Linked DNA regions of Styela clava. The protein of the gene in region 1 purifies or fractionates together with the protein of each later gene. This does not show direct contact. Links are inferred from orthologs where the notes say so. Each region holds a gene or a part of one and is shown in the gene's direction. Other genes may lie near its edges. The genes, in order: U2 small nuclear ribonucleoprotein A'-like, U5 small nuclear ribonucleoprotein 200 kDa helicase-like, small nuclear ribonucleoprotein Sm D2-like and pre-mRNA-processing factor 19-like.

Evidence for each region.
Region 2: the proteins of U2 small nuclear ribonucleoprotein A'-like (region 1) and U5 small nuclear ribonucleoprotein 200 kDa helicase-like fractionate together in Homo sapiens (co-fractionation; 3 studies listed by BioGRID). This does not show direct contact. The link is inferred for Styela clava from reciprocal best matches to the Homo sapiens genes SNRPA1 and SNRNP200.
Region 3: the proteins of U2 small nuclear ribonucleoprotein A'-like (region 1) and small nuclear ribonucleoprotein Sm D2-like purify together in Homo sapiens (affinity purification with mass spectrometry; 5 studies listed by BioGRID and IntAct, counting the BioPlex papers as one, with this or other methods). This does not show direct contact. The link is inferred for Styela clava from reciprocal best matches to the Homo sapiens genes SNRPA1 and SNRPD2.
Region 4: the proteins of U2 small nuclear ribonucleoprotein A'-like (region 1) and pre-mRNA-processing factor 19-like fractionate together in Homo sapiens (co-fractionation; 3 studies listed by BioGRID). This does not show direct contact. The link is inferred for Styela clava from reciprocal best matches to the Homo sapiens genes SNRPA1 and PRPF19.

The regions. Positions count from the first base shown.
Region 1 is NC_135254.1:5,249,819-5,256,743, forward strand, and holds U2 small nuclear ribonucleoprotein A'-like, read left to right. Parts: upstream 1-4,081; 5' UTR 4,082-4,185; coding exon 4,186-4,950; 3' UTR 4,951-6,407; downstream 6,408-6,925. Other genes in the region: uncharacterized protein LOC120344131, read right to left, coding at 132-1,520; ragulator complex protein LAMTOR3-A-like, read right to left, coding at 1,695-2,093. UniProt on the Homo sapiens protein: Involved in pre-mRNA splicing as component of the spliceosome. Associated with sn-RNP U2, where it contributes to the binding of stem loop IV of U2 snRNA.
Region 2 is NC_135263.1:8,545,244-8,552,252, reverse strand, and holds the start of U5 small nuclear ribonucleoprotein 200 kDa helicase-like, read left to right. Parts: upstream 1-4,009; 5' UTR 4,010-4,049; coding exon 4,050-7,009. Other genes in the region: DNA topoisomerase I, mitochondrial-like, read left to right, coding at 128-230. UniProt on the Homo sapiens protein: Catalyzes the ATP-dependent unwinding of U4/U6 RNA duplices, an essential step in the assembly of a catalytically active spliceosome. Plays a role in pre-mRNA splicing as a core component of precatalytic, catalytic and postcatalytic spliceosomal complexes.
Region 3 is NC_135253.1:644,460-651,562, forward strand, and holds small nuclear ribonucleoprotein Sm D2-like, read left to right. Parts: upstream 1-4,917; 5' UTR 4,918-5,073; coding exon 5,074-5,078; intron 5,079-5,932; coding exon 5,933-6,112; intron 6,113-6,224; coding exon 6,225-6,408; 3' UTR 6,409-6,601; downstream 6,602-7,103. UniProt on the Homo sapiens protein: Plays a role in pre-mRNA splicing as a core component of the spliceosomal U1, U2, U4 and U5 small nuclear ribonucleoproteins (snRNPs), the building blocks of the spliceosome.
Region 4 is NC_135252.1:20,701,119-20,708,540, reverse strand, and holds the start of pre-mRNA-processing factor 19-like, read left to right. Parts: upstream 1-4,404; 5' UTR 4,405-4,545; coding exon 4,546-4,564; intron 4,565-6,852; coding exon 6,853-7,001; intron 7,002-7,422. Other genes in the region: uncharacterized protein LOC120343531, read left to right, coding at 1-424, 895-1,661. UniProt on the Homo sapiens protein: Ubiquitin-protein ligase which is a core component of several complexes mainly involved pre-mRNA splicing and DNA repair. Required for pre-mRNA splicing as component of the spliceosome.

The DNA.
Region 1 (6,925 bases):
CACATCAAAAAATTGTTATGCTAGGCCCATTAGAAGTACGTTAAGTACGAAACTACACGAGACCCAAAAAATCCTATGCTAGAAATATTGTGTTACTTCTTGTATGATCAATATGACTGAAGAATGAAAATCTATTTATATCGAGACCATTCTTTTAACAGTTTTCTGACATGAATTACCGGACTTCCGGAAGCAGCAATTTTGGCGTCGAAGTTCGTTTGATCTCTGGCTGGTGAATTTCCATCCAAAATAGAGTTTGAACTTTCGTTTGTAACATTTTGCACTTTTTCACTTGTGTTCTTTTTATCGAGGATTGTGTTCTTGACTACCAACCACCCTGGCTTTGCTTCCTTCATGGTGGGATTGATAATAAAATGATATAAATCGTCATTTTGATCTTTGTCAGTTACGGATGCTCCCTTTTTAGCAGCGTCACTTTCAAACTCAACTTTTGATATCGGGTTTAGAGTAGTAATCCAAAACGACCAAGGTGAATGTTGTTCCAAAGGATGGAAGTTCTGCTTTGTGATTGTTTTTCCTCGAGGAGAACCTAAAGCGCTTTCGGTGGCCGTTTTCAATTTTTTGATCGGTGACTGAGAATCTTCACCATTTGTTGTGCTTAATCGTCTTTTTAATGTTGATTGACCATTAGAAGTAAGCAGTGCAGCTGCTTGAGAATGGGACTCATCGCTGTCAGAAGATAGAGAGTTACTTCCAAGTTGGAAAAAGCTTCGTAGAGACATTACCCTTCCTGAATTTTCACATATGATAGTTGGTGACTTTGAATCTAAACTGTGACTTGTATCCCAACCACACATCGCAAGTATTGCCGCTGTTATTTCAACAGTAAATTTAGATTGAGATTCGACAGTATCACTCGCGTTACTTTCTGAATCCTGCTGTGTTTGACACAGAACTCTTAGGTCAGCTTTTGACAAGTTCAGAGCAGTTGTAATGTTTGGATCTAAATTCGGGAGTTTTGTTCCAAGCTTTATGAGATTTTTTTCACGTTCTTGATACTGTGATAAGATCTCACTTGGTGATGCACTACTGTGAAAAAACGGAGAAACAAATGAATTGGAACATGGGTAACTCGGCCATGAACATATTTTCATGTGAGATGTTATAACTCTCTGTCGGTAATCAAAGCACTGCTGACGATAATTATCAGCATCAGGCCATGGAAGACGGACACACATAACAGCGGCACATGAACAACATTTAACAGTGTCTACACCGATACATTGCCAACCATATTGAGCAAATAGGGGAGGACTCAATGCAAGAGGTTTTGCCATCCATTTTGATACAGTAAATGTGGCAACTCTCTCAGTGAAGGATTCCAATCCTCTCTGCTTTTGTGATACAGTATCTGCTTCTCCCTTTGCTTTCTTAATGAACGAGAAAAGCGTGTTCTTCACTTGAGAGACGAAAGATTTTGAAGATCGCTGGGCAACAGGTGGCGATGTAGCTCTATTACCTAATAATGAGGTCGATACGCCCTCATCAGACTCTGACATATTTGAACCTATGAGATATGCGGAAAATGATCAATTTAACATGAGAATACTAGCAATAAAAGTAATAAATGACAAATAACATATATAAATTTCTTGATTAAATTACAAAATCAAATATGCGTTGGCTTACACATCGGAAAAATCATCACAATTCAACAAAGCATTTCAAAATAATCAGTTTGCGTTATAAAATGTTTTTGATAAGTCTGCAACTGCCTGCTTCACACCACCAAGATATTCTTGTAACTCCTCTCCAAGATCCAGAATTAGTCCTATGTTGCATTCACTGTTGGTTACAAAACTGACGGTCAAAGGCTGTCTAGTGAACTTTATAATATTGTAGTTACTATAAGAGCATATAATGTATTTATTTCTTCCGTAGCCAAGTTTACTGGCTTGATCAGTTGCCAAGGTAAAAGTCCCCAAAAATGCAGGCCGCAGGGTGTAATCAGGTGCCTTTTCGTTTGCAATTTTCAGAACAGGTACTCCATCTCTATCTGAAACAACTATTGCGTACAGACCGTCAACGTTGCTAAGTTGCCGATAGAGAAATTTCTTCAAATCTTCCGACATTATTCTGATAAGCGAAGTGAACTTAAAGATAAAAATGAAATACTGTTGCCAGATTTTTGTAGATATTTGTGCCACCTCATTGGATGTTCAATTTTAAGTTGAATTGATATAACTTTTCTAGGGTGGAGGTCTTTAAAGTTTTAAATTGGAAGATTTTGTGTGTTCCAAATTTTACAATGCTAAAAAATACGATTAGTTGTTTAATTTTATGGAATACAATATGAGAACTATAGCAATATGGCAACAGTAAAGGCCGCGCGTGATATTTTACTCTCTTGTTCTAACATTTATTATTTATCATATGGGAAAATATCTTTTATATTTTCTTTCAAATAACTATATAATTTTAATTTTCGTGTTTTTCCAATGTTTTAATTTTTTTCAACATATTATAATTAAAAGGGTAATTTTAATCATTAGTCTCCCTGCGTCGTGTTAAATTCAAACCGGTAAAATATAAAACGAATTTCACGAGTAGTTTCTAACTTGGGTGAATTGCCTTGTCACCATTCTGCCATTCCAGTCCCTGGTCCCAACTAAACTCTTACATAGATAATGGGATAGCTTTATTGTGTTGAAGATAGTTTTGTTTGAAGTTTAGGAAGATATTCCACCCCGTTCCGATAATTTAAGGGTCGTTTCCGTACCGGTAATTCAAAGTCAGATTTGTTTTATTTGTCACTTAAATCGAAGAGTTTTAACATACGGTAATTTTAGGGCAGTTGTTATACGGTACCGATATCTCTACATGTAGACTATGTATTTTTTATAGTTTTTTTTCTGTATTTATTGTGAGTTGGCATCCCTGTAGTATTCTGGTATTATTCATACCCCAGCCAGACAGGCCTGTCAGTCTGTAATATGGCTTATATCACTGTATCAGGGGTGGGCAACCTTTTATCGCTCCTGGGCCAAGATTAAGGGTTGCACATCATTGGCGGACCGCACATACGGTATCTCTAGAAAGTTGAAAACCGAACGGATGATAGTTTTTATAATGAAAATCAAGCAGTGATACATCTCTCGAATATAATGTAGATTTATTTCCTCATTGCATTGCATCTCAAAAAGTTCCATTTGAATATTTTTGGCGCTATTGAACCCTTTGCACTTAGCATCATTAAACTAGTCATTGTAAATTTTATACTTAAAATTTAAGATTATAATATAATTTAGTCTACACGTGTCTCACAATAAATTCGGTTACGTAAAGAATATAATCGTCAAAACAGCTGTTTTGATACTATAATTCAGTGAAGTGTCGTGGGCTGGATCGGGGCCGTAGGTTGCCGACCCCTGGCTTATATCAATTTACAGAGGTATGTAGTTTAGGAGGTCAAAATGGGATTGAGTCCAATTTTCTGATGTGGCTTTATCGAGAGAAATCTCAAATGTGATATAAGTGATCTCCATGTTCATTTCATTCCTCAGTTTCTAAGAAGTTTTGTGGGAATCACTAATTTTGCTTAACTCCTAAATTTTATTTATGATATTTCTGAAATGGAATCCAAGTTCAATAGGGTATGCTTAAAGCAGTTTTATCATTAAACATATTATATTACATGTTTGAAGTTTGCATGACCTAGGCAATTTTTTATCATTATTACTGTAATTTGTCTTATTAATAGGATAGGATTTACATAATCACACGGCCTATCGTCCAATTACCATTCCATGTCGAGTATGGGATTAATTAGTTACTTGTTTGTCTTGAAATCAATATCAATTTTGACTTGACTTGTTGAGTTTGATACTCTGTCCTTCTTGTGGCGCTCCAGAAGTATGTTTGCCAAAATGAAGGTAACTAATTTTGTTCGCATACTTTACGTCAAGTTGTGTAAGGGAACTGAAGCCCATGGGCAGGGGGTATATTCACTCAGCTTACAAAGACGGTACCCAGACTTGTAATAGAACTAAAATATGGAAAATCAGAATAAAATTATGGCCTAACCTGGTACACACACTACGGAAGTATTGTTGTCAATCTACTAACATTTTATTATATCTTCAGATATTCTCTGACTCTATAATCGGTATGATAACACTGGAATAAAGTTTTTATTCTTTCTAAAAAAGCTGTTGAAACTTGATCATGGTGAAATTAACCCCAGAGATCATCGAGCAAGCAGTCCAGTATGTAAACGCTGTACGAGATCGTGAACTGATCTTACGAGGCTACAAAATTCCTGTCATTGAAAATTTAGGTGCGACTTTGGACCAGTTTGACACAATAGACTTTTCTGATAATGATTTACGAAAGTTTGAAGGTTTTCCGTTGCTCAAACGGATAAGATCTTTGATGTTTAACAATAACCGTATTTGTAGAATCGAAGAAGATATTCATCTGAGTATCCCTAACTTGAAGGAGCTTTACTTCACGAACAACGAAATTGCGGAATTGACCGATCTTGATTATTTGGAAGGATTTAAACACTTGGAATTTTTGAGCCTATTGCGCAATCCTGTTACTCATCACAAAGAATATAGACTTTATGTTATTCACAAATTACCACAAGTACGAGTTTTAGATTTTCGTAAAGTTAAACAACGTGAACGAGAAGAAGCCAAAAAACTATTCGGTTCGAAAAAAGGGGAAACACTGCTCAATGACATCAAACAAAAATCAAAGAATAGGACTTTCACTCCAGGAAAACCAACACAGCCGACTGCCTCCATTTCAGGGCCGTCCGCTCAGGATAAGCAAGCTATCAAGGAGGCAATCATGAAAGCAAAATCTCTTGAAGAGATAGAAAATCTAAAAAGAATGCTTCAATCTGGAAAAATCCCCGGGAAAGATAAAAACGGTCTCACAAACGGTGCTGATAAAGAAGAGGAGACTGAAATGGAAGTGTCCTAAATTCACCTCCAAAATTGAATGTAAAATGATAAAAAAACGGTGGATTTTTCAGGATTACTTTGGGCTGTGAGGCGAAGACGTGTTACTACGCTATAAGAACTAAATCTGGGGACTATATTTGAACTGGCCTTAGTTGAAAAGTACAAAAAAAGTATTGATTTGTCACGCTTAATCTGCATTAAAAAATCAAAATAGTGTCGACTAGAAGGGTAAAAAGTAGTGTTTCGGCTCACTTTTTTGCACCAAAACTATAATTAAAGTACATACTTTGTTGGCAAATTATTTTTTGTATCGTTTTTTAAAATATGCATATTTGGTAATTATCATATGAAATTGAATTCCTATTAATGTAAAACGTACAGAAACAAGTTGAGATGATTTCTTCGAGAGACTTTTTAATTTTTACAAGAGACAATTATTCAACAAACATATGTAATGAAGCCTAATCAGACTTACTATTTCACAATACTTCAATAAAAGCTAAGGCCGTCAAATAGTCCTTACAGCAGTGGGTCTCAACCAGTGGGCCATGGCCCACTGCGCGGTCACGTTAACATTTTGATGCTAATTTCATTTGTGTCACTATAGTTTAATTCTAATTGTAGTGGCAATGAATGAATGGTGCTGTTTTTCCTACTGAGCGGGCCACAGAATTTGGGTAACAAAATAAAATAAGTTGAGAACCGCTGTCTATCAAAGTTGAATCTTCGCTTTGGTGAAAAGGTTTAATTTGGGCCAAGAGGCAAGAACAGATCACTAACACTGCATAATTCCAACTGTGCAACATTCTCAGTTCATACAGGGTCAAAGGTCAGATTGACCTTCCCCCTATTATATTTTTATCGTGTACATACATTTCGTAGTGATCTTTTCTACTGTTTTTTTTAATCCTAAACGCATCAATGACGAGTTTCACGTCTGATATTTCAAGCAATGTGCATTTTGGAATTTTCTCAAGTCTTATGTAGATTAAAACTGTCGTTTATACAGTATGTTCTGGTTATATTCTTCATATTTCCTGTTTACCTTCCAAAAATGGACTTTTGACAACTTGGCAATGATTCCAATTCAATTTGGCTCAATTTTTGAAGGGCGTATTGTTGTTCATGTTTAGTTTTTGAAAATGCCCATTTTCTTCGTTTGCGTCATAAAACTGGCTATCTGAACAGCGAAATCTAACAGGAAAATAAATAGACAAACTCTCACAACTGGTGGAAACAAAACTTGAATGTTTTGTTCCGGATGTCTGATTGTCTAGCAAAATAGTTCTCCTAGGAATCTATGCGACTAGTTGTCTTAACTTTGGAAGACTTGAAAAAAATATTAGACTTCGTCTAGGAATGTATATGTTATTTGAACTTATTTCTTACTTTTATTTTACTGTAAGCTATGATTGATTTGCAGTGATGCTTTGTAACTGCTATGGCCAAATTTCAATAAATGAAGTCGTACCTTCATGAGTTTAATGACATCGGGCTGGTGATGGCAATCTTAGGCTTTTTCACAGAGTGGGAATTAGACTTAAATAACCTTCTCAGGACAGGACCATGGCTTCTGGGGCCAGAGTGCAGGATTTCTCCGGAATGAGAGATAATTTAACAACCTAAATAGCAATAACCTGTGTTTCAGTAGGTATGCAAGCGTACATGTTGTGCGAGTCAAGATATTTGCTGTATTCATGTTAGTGTGCAGCAAGACTCTTGAATCATACAGGATAGTTATCTTTACTCCTGCTACAGTACCCTCACATTTATATGCATGCAGATCCACCAGCATAGAAGGATTATTAGTTAGTCACAAAGAAACCCAATTGGTATTGCATTTTGTGTGTCGGCGCTCCACCAAATACAGTTAAAACTGGTAAATGATAATGTCTGTCTCATTCTAGCATGCACAAGTTCCAACTTTACTTGCTTGTTCGGGAAATTAGGCATTGTTCGCTGTAAAGGCAAAGTTGATTATGTAGACTCCCACG
Region 2 (7,009 bases), on another chromosome or scaffold:
CTTTACTCGGTGAAATTTGTGTTAACTTTTTTGGTTATCTGGGCTATCATTATTTAATTTAATTCTTTACCTTGGTAACCTTAAATACAACACTAATTTCTATTAAACTTATTATATTTGTTTCAAGGTGCAAGAAGTGGGATGTTCCAATTGAGAAAGTCTACAATAAAACTCAACGTGACAAATTTGCTTGGGCAATAGCAATGGTGGATGAAACATATGTTTTTTAAAGCTATTATCTCAACTCTTTATTTTTTACTAATTACTTCCTTGATTTATTTTGTTATGGTTTGCTAAATTTATTCGTCCGGGATTTTCCAGTTTTAATATCATCGCCCTGTTTAGTGGTATGTTTCAACAGTTCAGGGATTGCTGGCGCTCTGTATTACAGTAATTCGTACTAGTTTATCGCTTCATCAGTCTCAGCATTTATAAGAAGCAATATCAACGATACACAGGTTAATAATTGGATCAGTATTTGTGTTTATATATGGCCTTGTGAACTATTTTCTTTTATAACCATAGCTTTTTTAACCCATGAGGGTCTGGAGCCTTTATTGTGAGGGATAGTTCAGTCTATGGCCAATCATTAAAAATATCGATTTTGTAACTGTCAATATATTTGCCAACTTCATTTCTTATGGTCTTGGTACAAATCATTTGCCTATTAATGTGAGGCCAATAAAGGCTCTGGCAATACTACTGCTTTCTTAGGATTTCGCGGTTCTTATAATGATAATGAAAGTTTTGTACATATCTTCTTCTAGGCAATTTTCTATATTTGCTGCTTTATGGTGTCCGCTTACATTTTCTTCACTAAGTTTCATCTCGAATCATATAATAACATAAATACGGAGTCTGATTCAGTGATGGAGCTTATGAAGAATTTTTAGGTTTTAAAATCTTTCGTTTGTTCCTGAAATGAATTGATCTATATCAAACCATAATCGACTGACTGCTGGTCGATTGTGATAGATTTTGAATTTTTATGGAACTCTAATTTTATGTTACATAGTTCGATAGTTTAAATTCCTTTTTTGTGAGGTAGGTAACAAGGTATTTATCTCTGCATTTTTTAAGTGTTCTTATTTCATTTTGGACATGCTTATACCAACTGGAAGCTCCATAGAAACATATTTTTACTTTGTGGAAGTCCCCTTGTTAGATGTCATTACATCTATATCTTCGAAAGTTTTTATTCCACTGAATAGGATTTTTGTCACAAATTGAATTTTTTCACTACCATTTCCGTTGTATACAAACTTTATATTGATTGCCGGTTCTATAGTATGAAATTTGTATGTGACCGATTAACTGCTAATATTTTTGATTGTTTTATTAAATGCACAAGGAAGTATTTGTAAAGCATGCTTGTTGTTTTTCTTAGTAAACCATGGGGAAACCATAGTGAAGCAGAGCTCATACAAACATGAATGTTAAGCTTTATAAGCAAGTTACGATTCTGTTAAAACTGCATCCCTGAAACCAGCTTTAGTTCTGGGTAGCCTCGTGATGTTCAGTTCAAAATTTGGCACTTCTGAAGGATGCGTACCGAGATGGCGGACACCAGAATGTAGTTTGTGTACCAGGTTAGGGGTTGGGCCATAGTTTCAGGTACAAATACTACGGTGGTCACTTGGCTTGTGACAGCAATTTTAGCCTGTGCCCATGTTATATATTCATGAAGCTGGCTTGGTTTAGGTTCAAATCCTATACTTGTTTGAATCAGCCTCTTTTAAGTAGGAACAAGGATTTTTAGATAAACAGTTTTTATTTATTTGTTTTATCAATAATTTTATTACCAGTTATGCTGATTATGGAGTTGAAATAAACTTCTACTCACAAAATACAAAGTGACGATGATACCGCGCGTGGACTCTTCCATTGTTTTCGGGTCTGTGCATTTTCTCTGCATTGTTTTAGTTTTTATTATCTCATTGGACACTGTGGTAACTTTTTTGTATCAGCTCGATGCATATATGTAAAGTTTCAGTGTGAAGGTGGTTCTCACATTGAGTCTGTTACACCTAAATTGTCGTTATCATTATCCGGCAATTAGGTGTGATTTCCTTGACTCCGCGCACATCATGCCGACGTTTGTCGTGCGTTCTCAGTTTTTGAAAGTTTCTGATCCCCACACGCGTTATTGTTATAGGTATAATTATGAGATTTTTTGCGGTATTGCAGTATTGGGAGAGACGTCTTTATCACATGGCTAACCAAGGCTTTATCGATATAGATTATATAAAACATCAAGACTTGTTGCAGAATTTGGTTTTGGTGTGTGTGCGCTAGCAAAAAATAAAAAACGGTAATTTAGCGTTTTCAGGTTTTGGTTAGAACATTGCAAACACACGAAAATTCCTCTTTGTCAAAAATTGGAAATAATTTCGACACTTTAGTTCGTGTCAGTGATTCAATGAAAAGTTTAGTCTATTTCATGTTCACGTCTTCATGTAATGCCATGGAGCACTGTGATTTACTAGAAACTGAGAAATGCACTTGAGATTTCATGACACAGGCATTTGTTCATCTTCAGTATATCTACGGTACAGTCACAGATATAAATAATACAGTAATATGCGCCGCCTCGGAAGTGTAAGTCATCATGCTAAGGCATAAGGGTTAGGAATACGCTGATTAGGTTCGTAGCGGTACTGTATTACCCCAAGCAGGGGTAATTCCAGAATTCACAAGTTCCAATTTTGTTGGGGACGTCGGTTAGGCATGGATCCCGCCACCATCATGCAACTTAAAGAAATAACTGGCTGACTAATCCTGTAATCCCATACACGGCATGGGCTGGTGACCGGATGCTGGAATGAAAGGCCTGGTTATGCTATAAGATTAAACCATATTTCAAACAAGTATAGACTCGAATGCCCTTTTATATCAATAGCGATTTACAGATTTTCCTGTGCTGAAGGGTAATTGAAAGATTAAGCAAATGAAAAATTTGTTAGTGACATATTAGTTGAACAAAGTTTATTAAATATTGTAAAATGAACATTCAAACTGTTTAAAAGCTTGCAAAAATCTGTACCCAAGGAAAGTTGTTAATTCTCCCTGTCATATTTTCGAGCATCACTCTCATAGATCAGTAGAGTATAGGGTGGCTTACCCACTTAGCGGCCATGACCTATCTGCGACCATCAACTTCATCGATTAAATTAATGCCGTAAAAAATAACGAACCGCGCTGATATTTCTCACGCGTTATCGTCCACTTATCCCTCGTAGCTCTGCGAAATTACACTAAAATGCGGCCACAAATAAAAAAGTTACGACCGAAAAAAAAAAACGGACCATTTTACCATGTCGCCAACTACCCATTGTTCCTTCAAAAAAGCTTGAAAATCCATACAAATATAAGAGATAAAGAGATGAAACTTGGCAGGTGGGTAGAGTTGTGTTTCTTTTAACCATCTCTAAAGTTTCGCGTTTCTATCTTCAAAGTAGGGGGGTGCGCATTTCCAATATGTCAATAATATCTTTGTCAACTAATTTGCGACCACCGTGTTTTTGTCTGTTTGATTGCTGTGATGCGGTGCTTTGTTTATAATTTGAAGAATTTTGTTTGAAATAACCGTGTTCTTAAAATATATGACGGTCAGAAATGCAATTAGAAGCCCATTTTTCCACGCATGGCTGCGTTTGCCCTAGTCTCGACGCAGCAGAAACGATGTTCAAGGCTTGAAATCCGTGATCACAAACTGGTCGTTCGGTCCCAAATACGTCTTCAGAGTGTCGTGTAGAATAAATGCCAATGCACCTACGGTGAAAAAATTAACGGGTTAGAAATATTGGTTTTTGTTTTATAGCGGTTTGAATGAAATTGTCTGCAGACTGGCTGCACCACCCTAAGACTGTTGTGCAGAATCACATAAATTACTATTAGACGGAGGTTATGAGTGGGGCAATACATACAATATGCTTTGCTAGTTGAATTTGTTTAGAAAAACTGCATCAACCGTTTTCACATGTTATTATTTATGTTTTACCACAGATATATTAAATCTGTAGAGGAATCGCTGTCAATAAAAAAACAGCATGGCGGATGCCTCCGCCCGTTCACTGCAATATGAATACAAAGCCAATTCTAATCTTGTATTGCAAGCAGACAGATCACTCATTGATAGACGACCAAGAGATGAGCCGACAGGAGAAGTCATCTCATTGCAGGGAAAATTAACTGGATCAAAAATGGGTGATAGAGCGCAGCGTACAAGACCACCACAGATGGAAGAGCGTCGAGCAAAGCGATACAAGCGTGACGAGGATCAAAAATCTTCTGTGAAATTGAAAGGAGCAACTCTGTTATCTGAGGGAATGGATGAGATGGTTAATATATTATATAAACCAAAAACAAAAGAAACTAGAGAAACGTACGAGATTTTACTCAGCTTTATCCAGGCTGCATTGGGTGACCAACCAAGAGACATTCTTTGTGGCGCAGCTGACGAAGTGATAATTGTTCTTAAGAATGATAAACTGCGTGATAAGGAAAGACGAAAAGAAGTTCAATCACTGTTGGGAGTTCAAGAAGATACTCGCTATCATGTTTTGGTAAATTTGGGCAAAAAGATTACCGACTTCGGCACAGATAAGGATGCTGAAACCGCAGATGATAACATTGATGAAACATATGGTGTCAACGTCCAGTTTGAATCGGATGATGAAGAAGAAGACCAAGAAAACAGGTATGGTGAAGTTCAGGAGGAATCTGAAAATGAAGATGATGATGAAGAAGGTGGCGTAGAGGCAGATGCGAATATGGTTGTTTCTGCTAATCTTACCAACGAAGCCGGAAATGTCAATATCATTAAGAATCGTGGACTACATCCTCGCGATGTTGATGCTTATTGGCTGCAAAGAAATTTGAGCAAAGTTTATGATGATGCAATCGTTTCGCAAAAAAAGGCAGAAGAAGTCTTGGAAATTTTAAAGACTGCGGTTGATGATTTACAATGTGAAAATCAATTGGTAATGTTGCTCGGTTTCAATCAGTTTGATTTTATCAAAATTTTGCGTGAACATCGACAAATGATTCTATATTGCACTTTACTTGCGAGTGCACAAAGTGAAGCTGCAAAAAAACAAATTGAAGATAGAATGAAGAACGATCAAGAATTGTCAGTGATTCTCCAGCAACTGAACGAAACTGAGAAAGAAGATATCATTAAAGAAGAACAAGAACGCAGAGAAAGATTACGCAGAAGCAAAGTTGATGCTGATCTAGAAGCAATGGAAACTGACCAGACAGATGAAACTTTACAGCCAAGCAAAGGGGTTGATCTTGAAGATATCATGTTTGAACAAGGATCTCACTTGATGGCAAATAAAAAATGCCAGTTACCAGATGGTTCTTATCGCAAACAACGTAAAGGTTACGAAGAAGTGCATGTACCTGCTTTAAAACCAAAAGTTTTTGCTGATGATGAAAAACTTGTTCCAATTGATACTTTACCCAAGTATGCCCAAGCGGCTTTTGAAGGGTTTAAAAGTTTGAACAGGATTCAGAGTAGACTTTCCAAGACTACACTAGAAAGTGATGAGAATATTTTGCTGTGTGCCCCCACTGGTGCTGGAAAAACAAATGTTGCACTCTTGACTATGTTGAGAGAAATTGGCAAGCACATCAATTCTGATGGAACGATTAATGTTAATGATTTTAAAATAATATACATCGCTCCAATGAGATCACTGGTACAAGAAATGGTTGGAAATTTCGGAAAACGGCTTGCCGCTTATGGCATCAAAGTCAGTGAAATGACAGGTGATCATCAGCTTTGCAAAGAAGAAATCAATGCCACACAAATTATTGTCTGCACACCGGAAAAATGGGATATTGTGACAAGAAAAGGTGGTGAACGAACATACACACAGCTGGTACGTCTGTTGATTATTGACGAGATCCACATGCTTCATGATGATCGTGGTCCTGTCCTGGAGTCTGTTGTTGCAAGGACAATTAGATCCATCGAAACAACTCAAGAGGATGTCAGACTTGTTGGACTTTCTGCTACTTTACCAAATTATGAAGATGTTGCCACATTCTTGCGTGTTGATCCCTCCAAAGGGTTGTTCTTCTTTGACAACAGTTTTAGACCATGTCCTTTAGAACAGCAATACATTGGCATAACAGAAAAGAAAGCAATCAAGAGGTTTCAGGTTATGAATGAAATTGTTTATGAAAAAGTTGTTGAAAATGCAGGTAAAAATCAAGTTCTGATTTTTGTTCATTCACGAAAAGAAACTGGAAAAACTGCTCGTGCTGTTAGAGATATGTGCTTGGAAAATGACACTCTAGGACATTTTTTGAGAGAAGGATCCGCTTCCACAGAAGTTTTACGAACAGAATCTGAGCAAGTAAAGAATTTAGAATTGAAAGATCTTCTGCCATACGGTTTCGCAATCCATCATGCTGGAATGTCAAGAGTTGACAGAACATTGGTTGAAGATTTATTTGCTGATCGTCATATTCAGGTACTTGTTTCAACAGCCACACTTGCTTGGGGTGTCAACTTACCTGCTCATACTGTCATCATCAAAGGCACACAAGTGTACAGTCCAGAAAAAGGTAGATGGGTTGAATTGGGTGCACTTGATGTACTTCAGATGATGGGACGAGCTGGTAGGCCACAATATGACACCAAGGGTGAAGGTGTTCTTATTACATCCCATAGTGAATTGCAATATTACTTGTCGCTTTTGAATCAACAATTGCCTGTAGAAAGTCAAATGGTTGCCAAACTGCCAGATATGCTGAATGCTGAAATTGTGCTGGGTAATGTTCAGAATGTCAGAGATGCTGTGAACTGGCTTGGGTACAGTTACCTGTACATTAGAATGCTTCGACAGCCTACTTTATACTCCATAAGTCATGATGCACTAAAGGCTGATCCTCTTTTACAACAACATCGTGTTGACTTGATTCATTCTGCTGCAAACATATTAGATAAAAGCAATTTAGTCAAATATGATAGAAAAACTGGGCACTTGCAAGTGAC
Region 3 (7,103 bases), on another chromosome or scaffold:
TGCACTTTGCACAAAAGTTGAGTTGAATTTCATGGTCCATGGTCTTTGTGTGCAGAAATCCGTAAAATTGTTGTGCAATCCAGGCGTTTGATTTAGCGACGCTCAAATTCTAACGTAAATCAGAATTGGGTTGGTGTTTGAGTTTGGTAAAAACGTTTGCGGCCCGCAATGAATTTCCCCATGAAAAAAGAGCCCGCGACACTAAAAAGGTTGGAAATGCCTACGGTAGCCTATATAGTAGTATGTGTCTGCTGAATACTCAAGATTCGTCATTAAATTAATCATAAACCTTCCATACAAGCATGAAATATCGTTGTTTGGGGCGTATCATAACAATCAACAATAAGAAACGTAAACGAAAATTTCCACACGAAATTGAGACAACTCATGGCATCATATGCAACCATCAGTTCATATGCCACGAATTTTACACTTACTTTGTAAATGTTGGTCCTAATCTTGCATCGAAACTGACAAATAATTCTATGAAGTATTTGGGAAAACCTCAGAAAAATTCAATCTATCTGGAGCCTATACTAGCATATGAAACTATTTCCATTGTAAACAAAATGGATTCAAGAAAAGCTTCTGGTCCGGACGGTCTGTATATTCGTGTTCCAAATCTTATGATTTATATCATTAGCAAGTACTCTACAGATTTCTTTAAAGCATGCATGTAGCAAGGAGTTTTTCCTCAATGCCTGAAAGTGGCAAAAGTGACACCTGTGTTAAAATCAGGAGATCCAAACATAGTGAGCAATTATTAACCAATTTCAGTGCTCACAGCTATATCGAAAGTTTTTGAAAATCTTTCGCATTCCAGATTGACAGAATATTCGGACAAATTCGATATTTTGTCAGATAAACAATTCGGTTTTACATTGAAACACTCAACTATTCACGCAGTTTTAGACAGCGTTACTCATCATTATTAGGGATGGCGAAATCGAGTCCGGATTCGATTACAGAATCGATTCCATGCACCGGAATCGATTCTCGAGTTTGAAACTTTGTTTGCAAACAATGTGTAACGTTTAGTGGCAATTTCTTCACATATATATATATGTATAAACTGCTTCACTGCTATGTTGAGTTGCTACGACACCACAAACTTCACTATATATAATATATATATTATAAATATCGCTAGTAGGCTTTAACGTTTATTTATTTTAAAAATCTCTGTGGGTTTTGAGGGATTCGTTTTTTTTTTGTGCGGTTTTGTCTCCTGTGGCATATTGGATACCCATACTACTTAGTTTCGGCCTTCTTGTCCGTCCAGAATTTGAACATCGCTGTCTTGCTTGATTTCATATGGTATTGCTTGGGTGGGTATATTTTTTCGGTAATATGTCGAGGAATCGAGAATCGGAATCGAAAATTTAGGAATCGGATAAGAATCGAATACTTGTAAGTACTCATACTTGGCATCCTTAATCATTATATGAATATTGGGAGAAAAAAAACATTTTGTTAACATTTATGTCGACTTGGAAAAGGTTTTTGACACCATTGATCACTCAATATTATTGCAGTAAATTCATCATTATGGTATACGAGGTAAACCATGGCGCTGATCAAAAGTTACATAAGCGAACGTATGCAATATGTCATTTATGGTAATGTGAGGTCTACGTCAAAACATGTTAATATGTTTATACCACAAGGTTCTGTTTTGGGGCCTCAATTTTCTTGACTTTTCCGTGTAAATTTCTCAGTGAAAAATCAGATTCAGATATTTATTTTACCGTGCAAGAATCAATGTAAAGCAATAAACGCACACAAGAATAAAAAAATACGGGAACACACTGATTCATAACAATTGATGAGGGGTCGCGAAAAACTCAATTAGTCGTCTAATCAGCGATACCTGAATTGAGCAGAAAATATAGGGAAGAAACAAGTTTCAAAGAAAATTAACCAAAAAACACAATCACGAAGAGAACAACAATTAGTAATAGGAACTAAAGAAATTAGGAGAACCATTATTTTGGGTGAGTTTGGTGGAAAAACGATTTACATAATAAGAGTGTTCCATATGAGTGCACATCACTCTGCTTAAAAAATAGGTAGTGAATGCTGGAGGAAGTTTTTCGTTGTGGTGGTGATGGTGCATTAATTTCAACATTTCAATTTTGTAAATATCAACCAAGTCTACGATAAATAGGACTAAGACGAGTGCATATTCTACATCTGAAATCGCTTGATTCTGTAGAATTTCGATGCGATGCAATAAGGTTTTATCTGCTGAACCACGCGCCACAATACCATATTGAATATGGGATTGAAATAAAGAATAGGAGACCATACGTAAAGTGGTTAGCTATGTAAAATGTCGAAGCTTGTATAGTATTCCCACTGACTTGGCTAATTTAACAGCCAGGTCAGATATTTGAACGTCCCATGCACTTCATTTTGTTATCTATATATAAACCAAGATATATATATGAATTGACATTTTCAAGTTCTGTATCATCAATTTGGACTGTCAGACTATTTTGAGCTTTACTTTTATTTGGTGATATTAATTACCATAGTTTTTGATTTATCGATGTTTTTTGGCTCTCATACAATTTGCTACTTTTGCAATTTCAGTGTTCACTCTCTATTGAAGGGCTACATGAGATTTGTCACTATCGAGGAGATTGGTATCATCGGCAAACAATTTGGAAAATAATGAAGAACAACGAGTTATGTCTAGAGCTGGGCATTTCGAATCGCCGCCATCTTATTTTTTTTTCTCATCGCCAATGGTCAACGTATATTCCTTAATTTTTTTTTTATTGAAGCCTTATTTTTTCAATGCATTCCAGACATATGACTATTTTCTGTAGTGATTTATTGATAAAACGTGTTTCTTATTGCGTGTGAACGCTCGCAATTTGTCTGAGTGATGTATTCTACGTTTTCAGTAATTCATTCGTTGAAAGAATCAGTTACAATAAAAAAAATTGTATACAATTATATATATCTCAAGTATTCGAGATTCGATTCGATTCTGGAATCATCAGGTATTCGAATATGCCCAGCCCTAGTTATGTCATTAATAAATACAAAAAATCTAAGAGGTCCTAAACAACTACCTTGTGGGAACCCGTGAAACACCGGTAAGAAAAGGATTTGTACCTACTTGAACATACTGTGTGATCTGCCGCTCAATTTACGCCTTACGGTATCGAAGCTCTTCTTCAAATCTAAAAAGGTTGCACCAACAAACTCCTTTTTTTATAGTTTGTCATATATAAAAAATATAGTACCCAAAATGGCATACGATGTTGAAAACTGTTTTGGAAACCGAATAGAGATTAATTCATGACAACATATTTAATGAAAAAACTAGTAAGCCTCTTGTGAATTGAGCGTACAAACAAAAATTTTATCAATCGATGAAAGAATAGATATCGGTCTATAATTTGAAGCAAGTTTTTTGTTTCCAGATTTAAAAAGAGGAATTACCCGCTCAATTTTGAGAGATGAAGGGAATATGCCGAGTGAGAGATAGCAATTAAAGAACTCTGTTAGACACGGAGCAACAAGGTCAGCAACATATTTGAGGCCGGAATATTGTCTGGCCCAACTGCCTTCCTAACCTTCAGATTTTGAATTTCTACCAACAGTTCATTTGCGGTAGCCAAACTCATAAAAATGGACTTGCTCACGCGATTATGGGGAAGATGTTTGAAATTACCCGAATCATTTGAAAACTTCTCAGAGAGGCTGGACCCAATGGTTCAGAAGTACTTAAATTTGTTCGAAATCGAAAAGTCAAACCTAGTGATACTGCCATTTTTCAGACAGATTTCCTCAACTTGTTGCTTTGATTTATTATGTGTGTTTTTGATTTTGTTAAATATTTGCCATGTTGATCTAAGGTGTGCGTGCTGGTGGGCAGGCACATGAGATACTTCATGTTTTAAACTTTTTTGTAGGTTTTGCTTGCCCTCCAGAATTCTCCATTTTTAATTTAGGTTTGTTATGGAGTTTTCGAAATAAACTATCTATCTATCTAAGGTTACCTCTGTTTTGGACAATAAGGTTTTGGTAATAACTTCGTTTTGGTTTCTTTGCGATGAAGTCTTGGCTTTTTTTTATCTCCTCCACTTCAGAGGGATAGTTGAGATTTCACTTCCTTCAGAAATTCATCTAGTGATGACAACGACTCCTGGATGCCAATACTAGAGGGGGGAGAGTAAAGAAACATCATGGGCCAACCTTTCCATGGGTTGTTTAATGATGGTTGGTATTTCAAGTCTCAGAGTTTTTAATATTTCACTCTCAAGCACTGTTACCAGGTCGGACATTTTACTTTCGGGCAGTTTGGTAACTGTATAGGTACTAGCAGCTTGACGATCAGTGGAGCTTTTGCGCTTGACATTTTCTTGTACGAAGATCAAAAGATCGTAACTGACGTTTTGAGTTCAAGCAGATAGATTTTCAGATGTTTTAAGAATACATTATAGAGTATATATTATAAAGTATAGACTATGGTATTGCTCAGCTATATCTGCAAACTTAAAACAGCGAATATATAATCGATTTTTTTTGTGTATTCGTGCTCTCGTGTTAATTTGTGACTTCATTGCATAAAGATGAATGCGTTTGATAGCTTCTGTAAAATAAACGCAACTTCTTATGCTGTTCTTTGTTGTAAATTGCTTGGCTAGGGAGGTCTGATTTTGGTCAGACGAAACGTTTCTAAGTGTGCAGCAGGACTCTTGAATTGCATAGTTACAGAAAATGTGCAACTTTCGTTAATGGGAACAAGCTGTAATGCGTTTAGTGTGTTGATTTTCATACGAAACTAAAAAAATTATTATATTACCATATGTGCGATACGAAACTCATTTTATAGTCGTTTTCGAGGGCCTCGTCTCACGGTATATTGGAATTTTTAAGGGGTCAAGGGTCGGGGAAACGAAATTACTGATTGGAGTCTACTATATTATATACGACTTACTTTTGCCGCTCGTACTCGTAGCTCGCTTGTCGGTTGGTGAGTGGAATTTTCTTTTCAGCGTCATTGCTGGATCATAATCGGTTTTAATCTGTATCTACATACGGAGTAACTGCAAAATGGCGTGAGTACAATATAACAGTTTTTATGTTTTATAAACTAGTTATCAACATGATTTTGCATGAGAAAAATAGCGACAATGTGAATCATTGGTTAGTTAATGTTTGAGGGAGCCCTTGGAAATTTTCTACTACAAAAATGAAACGTTAGGAGCAATATAATATTTCCATGTTTTATTTGCAAAATAGGTTTTTAATCATTATTTTAGTCAAAAGACCCGCAGGTACCGGTACCTCCCAAAAAAATCCCCAAAAAATGATGACGTAAAATCCGGTACCGGTACATAACCACGTGAATATACAGGTAATACGGGTAGCGCTATAAAACCATGGCGAGAGGTACCGTGATTCTTTCGTGGCAGGTGCCATCATGAAGTGGTAATAATTGTGTCACCTGTTTTGCGCTGGTTTCCACTGTTTCGCGCTGTTTTCCTCTGTAATGCGATGTATTCAGTAAGTAGTACAGTAGTAAGACCCCCGTTAACAGCCTTAATTATAGTAACTCAGTAATTATCAATATTTATAACGATAGTTAGCCTACTTCTACTGATTGATATTAACATTTCATACTTGATATAATCCTGTAATCTGAACTCGAAATATGCTTGTTTTGGCTTTACAGCTTTAATGTTGTGAGTGAAGCGGTCTAGTCCACCTCCAGTCTGCCAGACCGCTTTATACATTCAACGACTGAACTAGGCAATACAGAAATCCCCATTTGGTATCAAGTTACTGCATAAGGCAGTAAGTGGACTCTCAAATACTGAAATATAGACAGCTTGACAATATCTTTTACCCCATATTTTCCTATACGTTTCGCTCCAGTTTACTAATTCGGTATTCAATTCGACAACTACAGTGCGCTTGCAAACAAACCAAGGAGTGAGATGACTGCTGAGGAGTTGGAGGCACGAGAAAAAGAAGAATTTCAAACTGGTCCTTTATCAGTGTTGACTGATTCAGTGAAAAACAATACACAAATATTGATCAACTGCAGAAATAACAGAAAGTTACTTGCTAGAGTTAAAGCATTCGATAGGTAAGCAGATTTTGCTATATAAAATATTGCTAAAGTATATGAAACGGTATTGTAAGTTCCCACACAGATTTGATTTATTCTCATGCAACAACAGTTTTATCTCTGTTAACAGGCATTGCAATATGGTTCTGGAAAATGTGAAGGAGATGTGGACAGAAACTCCAAAAACTGGTAAAGGAAAGACGAAGCAGAAGCCTGTTAATCGTGATCGTTTTATAAGCAAGATGTTTATTCGTGGAGACTCTATCATTATTGTGCTGAAGAATCCTCTTGCTTCAGCTGAGTCCAAGGCTTAGTTGTTTTTTTTTTCGCAGCTACATCTAGTTTGACATATAGATGCCTAACTGCTGTAGCTGCGAATATCATTTTTATCAACCTGCTTGAAGACAAATTTTCAGGTATTCCTGCGCATATATGTTGTACAGGAGCCAGAAGTCTGCAATCATGGTTTTATATTGATTTTCAATAAAAAGAAGACATTGTTTCAAATTGTATTGCGTCGAGTCTGCTATAGTATTAGTGTGCAGTCAATTTTGGAAGAAAACTATCACTGCGTCTGGGATTCTTTGAAAACTGATATTTAGATATTAAAAACTAGATGTGTATCTGAGCGTAGCTCTGTGCAACAAAAAATAAGATTTCTCAGCCCTAGTATATTGGGTGTTTGATGCGTCCAGTGAACTAACTTTATTCATTGATATTATTTTGTGACAATTTCGCTTGTAGTTATTCCAAATTGAAAGAAAGTTAACGATCATATGGTGTTATACTAAATAAAATCAGCTTTGGAAATATTTCTCTGGTACGATAATTGGTGATGTTTATTACCTTTATATTAAAAGTAGGCGTAGTCCATTTGTAACGGTTACAAGCTGACATATAATGTTAGGCGGTGGTTCCCCGTTTTTTTTTAAGAGAAATGCGTGAAGAATTTCTTATTGGCACGCAGACCTCGACGAGAAAAAATAAAACTATCACGACGAAAGATATC
Region 4 (7,422 bases), on another chromosome or scaffold:
GACCATAGCCGCAAAGACCAGAGACGTGATTCTGCCTATTCAAGCCATAGCGACAAATCTCTTCCTTCTTCGCCAAATCTGAGAAAATCCTCTCCAAACACTTCCGGTTCAGCAGCGAATGAGATCACACATGTTACGTTCCAAGCGAAGCGAATCCAATCCGCTTTTATGCAGAGAGTGAAAGACCTTGCTTATAAGTCATTGGGAAGGTGTGAACCCGTACCGGAAGAGGTCACAGAAATTCCGCATACGTCACAATCGGGAGAAAACGATAGAGCAAATGAAGATGTCGTTGGTCCCGATGTCGGTCGTTCGCCAACTGAAAATGACAACCACGATGTGGCGTCAACGACGACTAACGAAGAGCGACATGTCTCCTCCTCTGACGAAATACAAAGTCCAGAGAGAAAGTCACTAAAAAGAGGTAAGAATACACATTAATGTTGTCGATGCGATGTAGCTCATAAAGGCAATACTCAGAAACCTAAAATTTCTTTTAATTCCCGATGAGGTACTTGATGAACAGGTTTGGTCTCCCGCGACTTTTACCACCTAATTTATTTAATATGTAATTACTTTAACTTGTTGGAAAAATGAACTGTAATATGACTTATTATTGTGAACTGTAAGTCGAGTTTATGGTCGGTTTTATTTTGATCGATGTGCGCCAGTATTCGAGCAATATGGACTCACCAAGGATGTACCTGCTTCGTAGGCAGACCTGACTAGTATTTTGAACTTTGTGTCACGTTTTCTTAGCTTGGTACCAAATACCAAACCAAAGCAATCATAATAATATGAGCAATCACACTTGTAATAGTTTCAACACCACAAACTTATCTCTAAACCCCGTCTAATTGTTAGCTTTCAATAAACTCCTTATTTCACTTTCAGCATCTGAAAAACCACAGAAGTGGAAGCGACAACTATGCAACGAATGGTATGAAATACCTGCCAAGAAGTCGAATGAAGACAAACATATGCAAGACAACGAAGAAACTGTGCAATACAAAGATAATGAGAATATAAACAAAAGCCAGGATAGTGAAGCGAAGGGAGATAGTATCGATGGCGCCTCACCAGTGTCACGAACCCCCGATGCATCCCATGATGACACTTATCCGCCGCCTCAAACCAAATCTGTGGCGCCTGGTTTTGATGCCAATCGATTCGCCCCTATCATTGAATGGAAGCCAGTTATAACAGGTTGGAAAGACTTGGTTTATGGCACAATGTATGCGGTGCCACCTCAGATTCAGCAAAGCTTCCTCGGCCTAACCTCGCCATTTGCAGATCCAAGACTTTTATACAACGACAATGGAATACACGGGATAACCGGCGATACAACCAATACCTTCAATATCAAACCCGGAGTTGACTCACTCAACCACGAAAACAACAGCGACCCAGCGTCTAGATTTTTCCGGTTTTCACCAAACACAGTCGCAAATTTCGCATATCGAAAAGAAAGTCAGACTCCGACCACTCCTGAATCTGCCCAATCGGGTATCTACAACCACTACTACCCGTCTGAATCTCTTCCAATATCCGGTTATAGTCGACTCCAACACGCACTTTTATATCAGTGGGATCCAAACCGAACAAGGCTTGACGGTACATCTTCTGTTCCCCAGTCCGCCAATCTTGTTCCCGCTAATTAATTAAATAGCGTCAATAATATTCTTTTCCTATTTTGCTTACTATATAATACTTTCTGTATCCAGGATAACAGCTGTCATTTTTATTACTTTATCAATCACTTTCATTCAAGTTTTATTTTCACCTAGTGTTGCCCTCGCTTCTGAAACAAATAACTGAATATTTACTATTCCCATACGCGACATGAACTGGGGGGCCGAGGTACGCCATATGATTAAGACATCTTTTCGCCTTTCCTCTTCCGCAGGAATTATAAATTTCAGAAATCCTACTGATATCACGAGGAAATCGTCATCAACTAGGTAGCTTTCTGTCAGTCAAAATATGAATAACATGATTTTGTTCGGAATGAAACACCTTCTAGATTCTTGTACAAGGCCCTTTGTTGTCAGTCAATGATGTGCAAGCTACATGGCAATAATCGCCCTGGTTCGCTTATTTAACCAATTCTCTTGCTTTTGGTTCTGATTAACATAGCCAGCCACAGTTGCGTAGATAGCTCCATAAACAATTCAGCAGAGCAAACGTGTTCTTGGTTTGAACATTGAATTTGCGGTAACTCGGAACCCAAAGTTTTATTTGCGACTTGGTCAATTTTGACTGACTGGCTGCGCAACTGCGGTATTTAATAGGTTTAAATTTCATAAGTATAGGGTTATCGCTACGGCATGGAATTCGGTCTAAGCATTTTAGATAAAACGACTAGTAAAAATAAATCTTCCTTCATTCTCAAAGTTTACCTTCAACCACAAATACCTCAAACTTTGTCGCATTGATACATTTAAAACTGTATATTAATTTTTCCAATACCATTTACCTCAGGTTACTCGGAGCACTGTTATAAGCATACCTCTCTGTATAAGCATGTTTGACGAAGATGTACAGTTATAATTTTCATCTGTATTTCATTGTTATAGGTATACAGTGTGACTACATTTTATGTATTCAGTATATTTTGCATAATTTACTTTACTGTGATGAAAATATAGCGTCGTAGACCTCTAGTTATCGATTTCCATCCATTATTACTTCATTCCGTTGAACCAACGGAACTTGTTTAAGAAAAGTACATATAAATACTGGTGCGAAACCTTTGTGGGCGCAAATCCCTCCAAACCTCAAATCCGAGTAGATTTTAATATGACTTTACCAAACTTTTCCCGACTCGCTTAATGACGACCAGAATTCCAGAATATTTTCTTTACATATTGCAAACTCAGGTAATTCAAAATATAAAGATCCTTAATTCTTCTTTTCTTGCATCCAATGCCTTCGTATAACAAATAAAAACAATTATTGTAAAACTCTTGTATTTTTTATTGAACAAGTTTATGAAGAAAGTTTGTGGAAGCCATGGCCTAGTGCAGCGATCGCCAACCTGTGGCTCGGAGCTCTGTCTCAAAGTTGTTTTTTAGAAGCGTTGAGGCATTAATGAGAGGCGGAGGCATAAAGCTAAATACTCCCCACTAATTACACATCACAGCGGTCCCCAAACTATACGTCGCAAGCGGTAAAAATAGGTTGCATTAATGCGATTCAAGTGTGTAAACACTCTCTTTTTTTAGTTTTGCAAGCAGTTTTCATTTCGTCATAGATTCTATTATTGAATCTTCGTATTTTTAAGAACTTGCTTATTGCATCATAAGTGGGTTTCCGAAAGTTTTATTAGCCTCTGACATAAGAGTATATGTTGCGGCTCGGCAGCGCGGCGGTGTGGCTCATCGTGCTAAGCGTTAGGAAAACTCTCGCCATAGCACCTCTGATTACTCTGCGTGGTTTCGCATGTTCGAATCCAATTCGGGAATGGTTATGTGCGAGAGGATTGCTGGACTCTTCGCCGCCGTGGGGTGGTTCACGTAACCGCTGGCCGTGCAAGTCCATGCTTTCGAAAACAAATAACCAACTAATCCCATCAGTGGCGTATCTAGGGTGTGGCAGCCATGGCTCGTGCCATGGGCGCCGTTTGAACAGGGGCGCAAAACGGGCAAAAAGTATTAATCATAAAAAATTTCAATTGGGAATAATTGAAACTCGTATTTTTACTCAGATAATAACGTACAAGTATCTCAATTAAATAATAGTCATTATAAATTGTCAAACTATCAAGGGGGCGAGTTTTCAGAATTTGCCATGGGCGACATTTTACGTAGATACGCCACTATCCCATACCCGTGCCAACCCGTGTCCTAGTGGTTGAAGCGTAAGACTTCGTTCTCATTTGCCTTGTGAGTTGTTTAAGAAACCATATATCAATACTGGTGAATGTGGGGTCTTTAAATGTGAGTAAATTTTATTGATAATTAATCATTATGAACCTCAAGTATTTTTTTTTTTGAAAGAGAGTGTAATCCGCATATAAAAACAATTTAAATAGTCGGGAAAAGTACTGACGAAACTTTGACTATCACCATAGGTGCGGTAACCGGACAAGTGGTCGTGGTTCGCCTTATGATTAAGTCGGCTTTATTCTCCACCGATATAGATGAAATATTGTCCTATGCTAAAACCTTTCCGAAAGTGGTGCGACTGATTCGGAGGCCTCTATCCGATGAACAGCAGTATGGTAAAGAGTCGCTGAAACAAACCAGTCCGAAAGTCGCTATTGGTGTTCAAAAATTAGCTTTAAAATGGTGCGATAAATTAGGCTAAAATTAGCTATCAGTACTAGTTTGTAAGACCAACTCGCAATAGACTCCTAAAAATAAATCCATGAAGAATATCTTTCGGGTCGAAGGTCTGGAAAATATCCATCGGCACGAAACCACGGAAGTCTTGTTGGACACCATGCATGAGTGACTTCATACGGCGCCGCCATCTTTGATTTTAGCTCCAAGTTTTGAAGATCATACTATTATTGGATTGGGATTGTATGTTGTAATTGTCAAAATGTCGTTAATATGCACAAGTAAGTTGATTGAATTTAAATTTATTTACGTATTTGGAAGTAATTACGTGCAAGAGGATTACTGGTTCACGCTACCGCTATAAGCTTTCCCCTGTGCCCTTCCTTTGATATTTCTGTATTTGTTTCCAAAAAAAACATGTTTTACTGAAACTTGTTATTTGTAAATTTTTCAAAGGGGTCTAGGGTGGTGCAGCCAGTCTGTGGACGATTTCATTCAAACTGCTATAAAATTAAAACTAATATTTCTAACCTGTTAATTTTTTCACCATAGGTCTGTAGGTGCATTGGCAGGGTCTAGTATAGTTTAGTACCACAAGTACTTCCAGTCTGCCAGTGGGCGTAGCATAACGATTTTTGCATATGTTATTCCTAACCCTCACCTGACTATGCCATCCAAAAATTACTACACTACGACGTCACCATCACGTCATACTGTCATAGGGATTGTCAAAGTATAATTACGATCGCCCGAAATGGCATCTGCGCTGCCGATAAGAACTTGCTAAAGCCGGCGATCTCTCTCCTATCGTGATCATTGCGATGAGAAAACGAAAGAAATAGCTTGCTCGATTTCGGGTTATCGTCTGCGCCTTTTGGACAACCATCCGCATACTTCGGTGGGCCGTGTTACGCCACTGTGACGTCGGAATGACGTAATTTTTTGGTGACGTAGTCAGGTGGGGGTTAGGATTGACATATGCAAAAATTGTTGAGCCAGGCCAATTAGAAGTGTATGTGGTACTAAACTATACCAGACCCCATTGGCATTTATTCTACACGGTAAATCTCGAATTAACTTTCTACGACCAGTGGTTAAAGCTATACAAACCATCAAAGTATGACACTCGGGAGACGTATTTGCGACCGAACGACCAGTGTGCAACCGCAGATTTCAAGCCTTGAACATCGCTTATGCTGCGTTGAGACTAGCACATACGCAGCCATGCGTGAAAAAATTGGGCTCCTAATTGCTTTTTTGACCGTCATATATTTTGAGAACACGATTATTTCGAACACAACTCGTCAAATTATAAACAAAGCACCACATCACAGCAATCAAACAGACAAAAACACGGTGATCGCAAATTGTTCGACAAAGATATTATTGACGTATTGGAAATGTGCACCCCCCTATTTCCCCTCCCTTAAATGTTGAAACGTGAAACTTTAAAGATGGTTAAAAGAAACAAAACTCTACTCAGCTGCCAAGTTTCATGTTTTTATCTCCTATATTTCTATAGATTTTCAAGCTTTTTGGAGCGACAATGGGTAGTTGGCGACATGAAAAAATGGTCCGTTTTTTTTCTCCGGGCGGGTTTTCGGGCGTAACTTTTTTTGTTTGTGGCCGCATTTTAGTGTAATTCCGCAGAGATACGAGGTATGAGTGGACGAAATTGGGTGAGAAATATCGTCGCGGTTCATTAATTTTTTCGGTATTAAATTAACCGATGAAGTTGATGGCCGCAAATGGGTCGTGGCCGCAAAGTGGGTAAGCCACCCTACTATAGTTTAGTAACACAAGTATACCACTAGTTGGCGTAGCATAACGAATTTTGCATATGTCATTCCTAACCCCCACCTGACTATGCCATCCAAAAATTATGTCACTAGGACGTCACAATCACGTCATAGAGCTTGCTAAAGTGTAGCTGCGATCGCCCGAAATGGCATCTGTGCCGCCGATAACGAACATCGGCGATCTCTCTCATATCAGGGTCGTTGCGACGAGAAAACGAGAGAAATAACTTGCTCAATTTTGGATGATCGTCTGTGCATTTGGGACGTCCTTCCGTATATTTAGGAGGGCTTTATTACGAAACTGTGATGTCATAATGACATGATTTTTTGGTGACATAGTCAGGTGGGGTTTAAGAATGACATATGCAAAAAGGTGACTGTACATTTGAACCCATGTGTATATCCGCGGGTGCTAAAACCCATGGGTTAGGGTCAGTATGGGTTAAAATGTCCGTAAAACAAAAAAATTTACGTGTGTTCAAATGTACGGGAACCATGCAAAAATTGTTGAGCCAGACCAACTAGAAGTGCATGTGGTACTTAACTATACCAGACCCGTCATAAGTATGTCCTATGGACTCCTATGTCGGTATATTGAACCCCAGTTATAATAAACTTCGACTGACTGACGTATGTCTGTATGTGAACATTTTGACACATTCCAGATTTCCAGCATTCTGTTATTTGCCAAAATGATTGTCTCTTTCTCACTGGATGGTGAAACAACCAGACCTTTCATTTCAAAAATTCATTTTAATCCTTTTTTACAGTCAGTGGAGAAGTGCCAGATCACCCATGCATATCCCAAGTATCTGGATGTGTATTTGAACGAAGATTGCTTGAAAAATATGTCCAAGAGCATGGTGTCGACCCTACATGCAACGAACCTATTTCACCGGAACAGATAATTGATATAAAGGTTGATACTGCGTTATATCTGACATGGGCGAACTACGGCCCGCGTTGCCAAATCCGGCCCAAATCCAATCTGGCCTACCTGATGCTGCCACAACCAACTAAAATCAAATAAAAACCATATATATTTGTATTGATGACTGTATTTTCGGTTGACCCAATAATGAATCTCTCTTCTTTCTGTCATTTTAGGCATTCGACATCTGAAATAAACGACAAAAATAGACTTAATTCATCTTCTAACAGTGCAAAAAAAACAATTCCAATCAGAACAAAGTTTATATTATCTATCTTACTTTACCAGATTCAGTTTCAACGAATTTACATAGTACATACAAATTCCTCTGTTGAAAATTGCCACATTAGAATATTTTCTATATCTTATATTAGCAAACGTCACTTCAGACTTCAATTATAATAGCGGC